Linked DNA regions of Sus scrofa. The protein of the gene in region 2 purifies or fractionates together with the protein of the main gene of each other region. This does not show direct contact. Links are inferred from orthologs where the notes say so. Each region holds a gene or a part of one and is shown on either strand. Other genes may lie near its edges.

Evidence for each region. The genes of interacting proteins can lie anywhere in the genome.
Region 1: the proteins of tubulin alpha-1C chain (region 2) and TXNDC9 purify together in Homo sapiens (co-immunoprecipitation; 3 studies listed by BioGRID and IntAct, counting the BioPlex papers as one, with this or other methods). This does not show direct contact. The link is inferred for Sus scrofa from reciprocal best matches to the Homo sapiens genes TUBA1C and TXNDC9.

The regions. Positions count from the first base shown.
Region 1 is NC_010445.4:54,934,662-54,938,311, reverse strand, and holds part of TXNDC9 (thioredoxin domain-containing protein 9), read right to left. Parts: intron 2,044-3,650; coding exon 1,925-2,043; intron 1-1,924. UniProt on the Homo sapiens protein: Significantly diminishes the chaperonin TCP1 complex ATPase activity, thus negatively impacts protein folding, including that of actin or tubulin.
Region 2 is NC_010447.5:15,152,156-15,156,370, reverse strand, and holds the start of tubulin alpha-1C chain, read right to left. Parts: upstream 2,853-4,215; 5' UTR 2,772-2,852; exon of another isoform or gene 2,751-2,771; intron 1-2,750. Other genes in the region: TUBA1B (tubulin alpha-1B chain), read left to right, coding at 2,853-2,855, 4,199-4,215. UniProt on the Homo sapiens protein: Tubulin is the major constituent of microtubules, a cylinder consisting of laterally associated linear protofilaments composed of alpha- and beta-tubulin heterodimers.

The DNA.
Region 1 (3,650 bases), on a different chromosome or scaffold from region 2:
GCTGTGATGTCTATACATCCATCAAGTATGTTTAGTGAGCACCTACTGTGTGTAGCCACTGCTGCTCTGTGGCTGGGAACCTGGAGCACGGATGGCCACAATACAAAGGCATACTCTCTGCCTGCACAAAACTAACAACCCAGTGGGCAAAGTCAGCTAATAATAAGAAATAATATCAATCTTATATGGATAACTTATTACCTCATCACATGACTGAGCTTGGCACCTTAGGAATGTGAAGTGGGAGGTGACCGTGGACCACAATGGCAGATAGGTTTTTTGATGTCTTTTTACCTTCCTAATCCTTTTCCCACTTTCCTTTTAGAGAACATTGCACCCTCTCAGTATTTTCTTTAATTGTATTTTCTTAGTCAGTAAATCCTACAATCAGTCCCTGAAAGGTGTTAAGGAATAACCACATTGTTGGGTGATGAGGCAAAGACCAGAGCCAAGCAGGCTATGGAAATGAGAGAAGCGGGTCAGGCGGAGACAGCAGAGTGAAGAACAGAGACTCTGTATATGAGCACCTGTCTAAGGGGACAAGGAGCCATTCAGGATCTGCAAATTGTCCTCAAACAATCCTAGGTCAGCCATCAATTATCTGATTTAAAAAAATATATATCTAAAATTCAACTAGTTGCCAACATTAAAAATGTTGGCAACTAATCACATTTGGGGGCTAAAAAAAAGGCTCGAGGCGATCCCCAGCTGGGTGCAGTGGGTTAAAAATCAGTGCTGTGGCTTGGATTCAACCCCTGGCCTGGGAACTTCTATATGCTGAGGGTATGGCCAGGAAAAAAATAAATACAACAAAAGGCTTGAGTCCTTTAAGATACAACCTCTTCTGGAGCTATTTTCACTTTATGAGAGAGCTGCCTCCAAAGAGAGGTTGGCAGACTTGAGCTTCTCCTTGCATCCAAGCTTGGCGGTCCCAACTATGCTTCTGGTGAGAGGCTTGGTCAAGCCACTACCTCCCCATGAACTGCCAGCTGAGAAGTAACTGACTTTCAGGTTGGTGTTCAAGGTGTTGGCCCAAATCCAACACTGTGGCTATATCATAAGAGTAGGGACAAAAGCAGAATTCTTGTGGCATTGACTGAAAATTTAACCACATTTTTAAGATGTCTTTATTTATTTATTTATTTTTTTGTCTTTTTAGGGCATATGGAGGGTCCCAGGCTAGGGGTCTAATTGGAGCTGTAGCTGCTGGTCAACACCACAGCCACAGCAATGCCAGATCCGAACTGCATCTGTGACCTACACCACAGCTCATGGCAACACCGGATCCTTAACCCACTGAGCAAAGCCAGGGATCAAACCTGCAACCTCATGGTTCCTAGTCAGATTCGCTTCTGCTGAGTCTTGATGGGAACTCCTAAGATGTCTTTAAAGTTAGCTAGTAAAAATATAGTGAAAATAGCCACTTCTATGGAAATGCTAATCACCAATAATTTATACTTTCATATGCTACTGGTTTTTAAGTTAAACTTTTTTTTTTTTGTCTTTTTGCCATTTCTAGGGCCACTCCCACAGCATATGGAGGTTCCCAGGCTAGGGGTCAAATCTGAGCTGTAGCCGCCGGCCTATGCCAGAGCCACAGCAATTCGGGATCTGAGCCACGTCTGCGACCTACACCAGAGCTCATGGCAATACCGGATCCTTAACCCACTGAGCAAGGCCAGGGATCAAACCCGCAACCTCATGATTCCTAGTTGGATTCATTAACCACTAAGTCATGATGGGAACTCCTAAGTTAAGCCTTTAATGACTGCTTAACTTTAATATATACACTTCTAGTACAGAGAAACAACTTAGGAAGTAATCCCCTTTCTATTTTTCTTAATTTCTCTACTAGGTCAGTTATCTCTATCCAACAATCTCATCTTATCCAAAAACAGTCACTGATGGAAAGAAACGAAGTTACCTGAATGTGGAGTCTCTGTAGAAATGGCAGACCACTTTTTTACTCTCTTTGACTTCCTGGAAAAAGTCTCTCTCACTGGGAATTTCTCTGTATTCCCCATGTCCTTTTGAAAGCCATTCCTAATTTGGAGAAAAGGGAAATACACTTTTGAAATATCTCTTTTAATATCACTTAACACTTTATGTCCAAATCACCATAATACTTTGTAGTCAAGTTGGCTTTATCTTCGAGGGAAATGAATTCCTTCTAGTGATTTACTTTTCCTAGGTTTCTAGTGTTAGTGCACAAATAGCCTGTGGGCAATGGCAAGCTCCACAGCCTGGCTCGGATTTGAGACAATTATCTTTCTTGGTAACTTAAACCATAGATTTTCTTAGAACTTCAAAAATAAAAATTTAGGGAGTTCCTGTCATGGCACAGCAGAAACAAATCCGACTAGGAACCATGAGGTTGCGGGTTCCATCCCTGGCCTCTCTCAGAGGGTTAAGGATCCGGCGTTTGCTGTGAGCTGTGGTGTAGGCTGGCAGCTGTAACTCCGATTCAGCCCCTAGCCTGGGAACCTCCATGTGCTGCGGGTGCAGCCCTGAAAAGCAATAAATAAATAAATAAATAAAAATTTAGACTCTATAAAAACAGAGACTTAGTAAAGATCTATTTAATTTCTTTTTGCTTAAAACTACTAAAATCAGAAGCATTTGATCCAAGTTCCTACAAAGCTCTAAAAAATATTGCTTGGGGAGGTCCCGTTGTGGCGGTTAACGAACTGACTAGCATCCATGAGGACACGGGTTCGATCCCTACCAGGAAATATACTGATTTCCTCAATACCTCAAGGATTAGAAAATCAAAATTACTATGCAATCTACACCACTCTTGCAGAAAGAGTATCTATAAAAACCATTAAGCCTTCTTGCCTACTTCCTCAGAAAACATTTTAATAAAAAAACACCTACTGAAGTGCAATGAAAGCTCTAAATAAGACCCTCTGGGTTACTCTAGGGCAGATTTATGTTAAAATGATTTGTGTGTTAATTTAGAAAAGCCCTAAAGACTGCCTGCCTCTGCTTGTTTTTAGTTAAAAATATTCAGACTATTGTTAACTGTTCACAAATTCATTAAATGTATGCCTCTCACTGCCAATCAGGTAGATTCAAAAGTACTTAATCATGAAATGAGGTGTAGCAGAACCTCACCATAGAGTACCTTAAATCATTATTAGCATTAAATTGAGAGAAGTAGTCTGGTTTTAAAACTGTATATATACATGGAGTTCTCTTGTGGTGTGGGTTAAGGATCTGGCATTGTCATTAAAGAAGCTAGAGTTACTGCTGTAGTACACGCTCAATCCCTGGCTGGGGAATTTTTAATTCAAGAGTGCAGACAAAAAAAAACACAAAAAACCCTGTATATATGTAAATATATGTGTGTATGTGTATGTATACGTATAGATATATGGTTTCAAAACCACATGTGTTTTAGAAAACTAGAGATATAAAAATTGGAACTCAGTCACACTGTAAGATTCCTTTTTGTAGCAATTCTTCTAAGCAATGAGAGTGTAAGCATCATCAAACAGATGCTCAGCAGCACAAACAAAACTTCCTGTTTCTTTAGAAAAGTAAAAGCTAATGTTTTAGGCACAGCCAGTTGAGAGGAACCAAAGCTGGTGATAATGTACTTCAATGTAACATAAACTAATGGAAACATTAAGATCAAAACTCAATTT
Region 2 (4,215 bases):
ATCAGGCCTGTATATCATTTTCCCACGTTACTTCCTACCTTTCCCTCTCCCTCTTTTTCTTGGGAAAAAATGCTCTTATCTGTATTTCTCAATCTATTACAAAAGTGGAAACATCTAATTGTTGGATTTGCCACTGGAAATTTTGACCTGTTCATGACAATAGTGACCCTACAGTCCAGCCTATAATGAATATTTTCCACTTTTCCCAAGTGCTACTGCTAATTGCACCTGGTGTTCCTTGATGATAGCTACAAGGTAATAAGACTTTTGAAGCTTCCCTTTTGTCTTTAAGCCTTCACGCCACCTTAAACAAGAACTTCAAGGAGGCATACATGACTTGAAGTGTGGCTCCATAGGGAGAATCTTTCTCCTTTGGGCTGGAGTAAGTGCCAATGAAATTTATGATCAGAGATCTCTCTCTAACATTAGAAGAGCCATCTGATTCCATAGCCAAAGCAATAACAACCCAACAATGATCACTTTACTTGTTTATTAAAGTAATTTTGGGTAACTGCACGGCCTTTGATTATCTGCTTTCTGAGCAAGGAGGCATTTGTATGATAGCAAATACCACCCGTTGAACATAGATAAGTGTGTCTAGAGAAACAGACACTCAATTACACAAAAATGGGGAACAAGTCCATGACTACAACTTTCATTTGATGACCTGCCTGATTTTTTTGGCCTAGTTAGCAGTTACCCTCAAGTATGGGCTCCTGGTTTAGAACCATCATACAAAGTGCTTTGTGTTTATTTCCTGTTAAATCTTTGTAGAAATGACTTACCCCGTAAAGTGATGCTAGCTCAACGCTTCAAGACAATCTCCAATGCTTAAGACCGTGGTAAGATATAGTTTAGATGGAAATGCCTAAGAGTTCGCCCCCCTTCCTCACTGTGGCCTCAATTATTTTAAATCTGCACTTTCCCACATGGGAGATGACAACCAGGAAAGGGTCCTTTTGGCACCAAGGGGAAAGATCTTGATCAAAGGGGGTAAATGTGTGAAATTCCTGTTGTGGCTCAGTGGTAACAAATCTGACTAGGCTCCAAGAGAATGCAGGTTTGATCCCTGGCCTCGATCAGTGGGTTAGGGATCCATCGGTTGTTGTAAGCTGTGGCATAGGTCACAGACAGGACTTGGATCCCACATTGCTGTGGCTGTGGTGTAGGCTTCAACCCCTAGCCTGGCAACTTCCAAATGCTGTGGGTGTGGCCATAAAAAGACAAAAAAAGGGGTGGTAGTGGTAAATGGATACATTAATAAAGGGAACTTTTTTTTTTTTTCTTTTTTTTTGGCTGTGTCCTTAACACACAGAAGTTCCCAGGCCTGGGATTGAACCCTTGCCATAGTAGTGACAACAGTGGATCCTTAACCTGCTGAGGAAACTCCAGGAAACTTCATTTTCAATGGAGTCAGGAAACCCTGAAGGCAGAACTCAACAACCTAGCACTATTTGCAACCTACCTAATCAGCAGGAAGAAGGATGATAAAAATGTTACTTTTCTTCTGGTTGGTACAAGGGAGGACATTTTCACATAGGAATTTTATCTCTAGCTTTTAAAAAAGTAAGGAAGATCACTGCCTGCCCCAGCAACAACACTAACCACTGCTTGCAGCCAATGAGAAATGGCCACATTCTTGAACTCTCCAAAGAACTTTTCTTTAAACAATCCTCCCCAATTTCTTTCTAAAATCTAATAAAATCCCCTCTCCTTTGTTCTCTGGATTTGTCTATGATTCCCCATAGCTTGCTTGTCCCAATTGCAATTCTCTGCTACTCCCAAATAAATCCATCTTGATGGTAAAAAAAACTGATTTATTTTTTGAGGTTGACAATGTATATAAATGTAAAATACTATGTTGTACACCTGAAAAACAACATTATATGTCAATTATGTTTCAATTAAAAAAAGTTTTACAAAACTCTAAACAGCACAAGGAATCTCTACTTCCTAACATCTTTCAGGATCAAACAATTTCTTCCCTCCCCAATTTTCAATTCAGCTACTAAATCTGAAATGTGCCTTGAAATATTTCTTTCTAAAAGGCCCTGTTCAATGAAGTTGGTTGGTTTAGGTCTAAAAATGGAGACTACTCTGCCCTTTTAACAGTTTAGATGTTCAGTGCTTAGGTACTTTTTGAATGACTGAAATACTATTTGCTTCCAATGTTCAGAACCTTTAGTTCAAAGGACAAGTCACGACGGTAATCCAAATACAACTACGCTGTTTTCTAAACCTTGCTCCTCCACATTAACAGGTAAATGCATTCGCAACTGCCTTTAAAGGAACTGAGAAGGGAAAAAGGCAAAACTCACTGACAAATTATGACAACGTGAAAATAATCAGCTGAGCTATCCAGACCAGAAGTTTCTGCATTTCCTGGTGCTTCATCTTTAAAATTGTGTGCTTCTTAAATCAGGATTCTTCCAAATTAAGGCAATCGAGCCTCCATCCCCGTCTCGGCCTATTCGGAACCTGCGCCCCACCCCCACCCTCACCCCCGCCCAGGCCCCGGCAGCCATGCGCCAAAGACTGCAGCACCCAAGCTCGAAGCCCGCAGGCGCGGCGGACCCCGCCCCGCAAGGCCGGCGCGGGGAGGTGGCTAGGGGCCAGGAGCCCGCCTCTGCGGAGGCCTAGTCGGACGCCGACTGGGTGCGCCGGGCCCGGGGAGGGGCCGGCGGCCATGGCGCCGCCTGCGCCCGCCCGCCCCTCCTCGGACCGCTATTTAAGGGGCTCCCGCGTAGCCTCCGCCTCAGTGCGTTACTCACCTCGACTCTTAGCTTGTCGGGGACGGTAACCAGGACTCGGTGTCTACTCCTGTTGCCTGCGCTTGCTGACCGGTAACCACCATGGTGAGTAGACTGCCCACCTCGCTCGGGAAGATGGGGAAGAACGAACCGGGGGAGCTCGAAGGCTTCTAGCTAGAGAGGGCTGGGGCCAGCGCTGTCCACTTGGAGGATGAAGAGCAGGGCGAGAGCCGAGGGTGGGAGTAGATACTGGAGAACCGCTGGGGCCCGGAAGTGGGAGGCCACCTTGTTTTCTTCTAGGACTCTGGAAGGGGATTGCAGGGCACCGGCTCTCCTTCACTGCGGTTGGGGCTCTCCTTTAGCCTTTAACTCCTGGGCGCGGTGCCCCGAGACCCTGCAGTCTTTTCCCGCGTGTTCCCATCCCCCTCTCCTTCCCCCCACCTCTGGCGGGCGCGCGCGCGGGCTCTCCCCGCCCTCACTTCCTCCTCAGCGCTAAAAGCGTAGGCGGGAAGGAGCTCGACACAAAAGCGCAGGCGCGACCGTTACCTTCCCGCCAGGGAGCGGTGGGAAAGCCCGCCACTGCAGAGTGCGCATGCGTGCTGGGGCGCTGCAGGTCTAGGGTTGGAGGGCGTGTCTCCTGCTACCCAGAGTTCTCTTAAAAAAGTGCAGTAATCAATATGGAGAAGGGTTCCTCACCATTGTGCGGCACCACGGCAGTGTATTAGGACAACTAGCTCTTAAGAGCATCTAAAAGCCATCTGTCCTCTTCTGCCTTAGGAATGTGTGTGGGAGCAGGTGGTGGTGAGGGGTTTTGAAGGAACGGAAATCGGATCTTGGTCCAGATCTGGGCCGCCGATAATCCCCTGCTGCGTTGTGACGGATGTGGAGATGCTGGGCAGCGTAGGACGGTTGGCGATGGCTGCGTCTCTGCAGACGTGGCTGTCACGAGCCTTTGCAGCTGCGCAGCTCAGAGGCTGCAGGGAGCAGCGGGGGCGCGCACGCGCGCACGCCCCCTCTGAATTGCTCATTCATGCTGTGCCGCAGAGCTCCGCCCCTCCTCCCTGTGGCCAGACATTTCCTCTGCACTGCTCTGGCCATGTGCTTCCTGAGCTGGGAGCTGTCCGGAAGTCTGGCCACCTCCTCTAAAATGGGATTCTGAGGCCTGAAGGCTAGATGATGGCCTTCTCCCTATCTTGATCCTTCAAAGGAGGAAGCGATGACTAAGCTCTTCTTGGCCTGGAAAGATGCCTTCTCAATTTAGAGGAGAAAAGGAAATTAATCAAAAGTAATATAGATCAAAAGTAAAGACCTTCTTCCCTAGATTTAAAAGAAATACATTTTCATTCATTTCAAAAGAGGAAATTTGTAAAATTAACCATCCATAAGCATCTGTTCTGCTTCTTTCACCACTAATTGGTTTCATCTTTTTTTTCCCTACTTTCTCACAGCGTGAGTGCATCTCCAT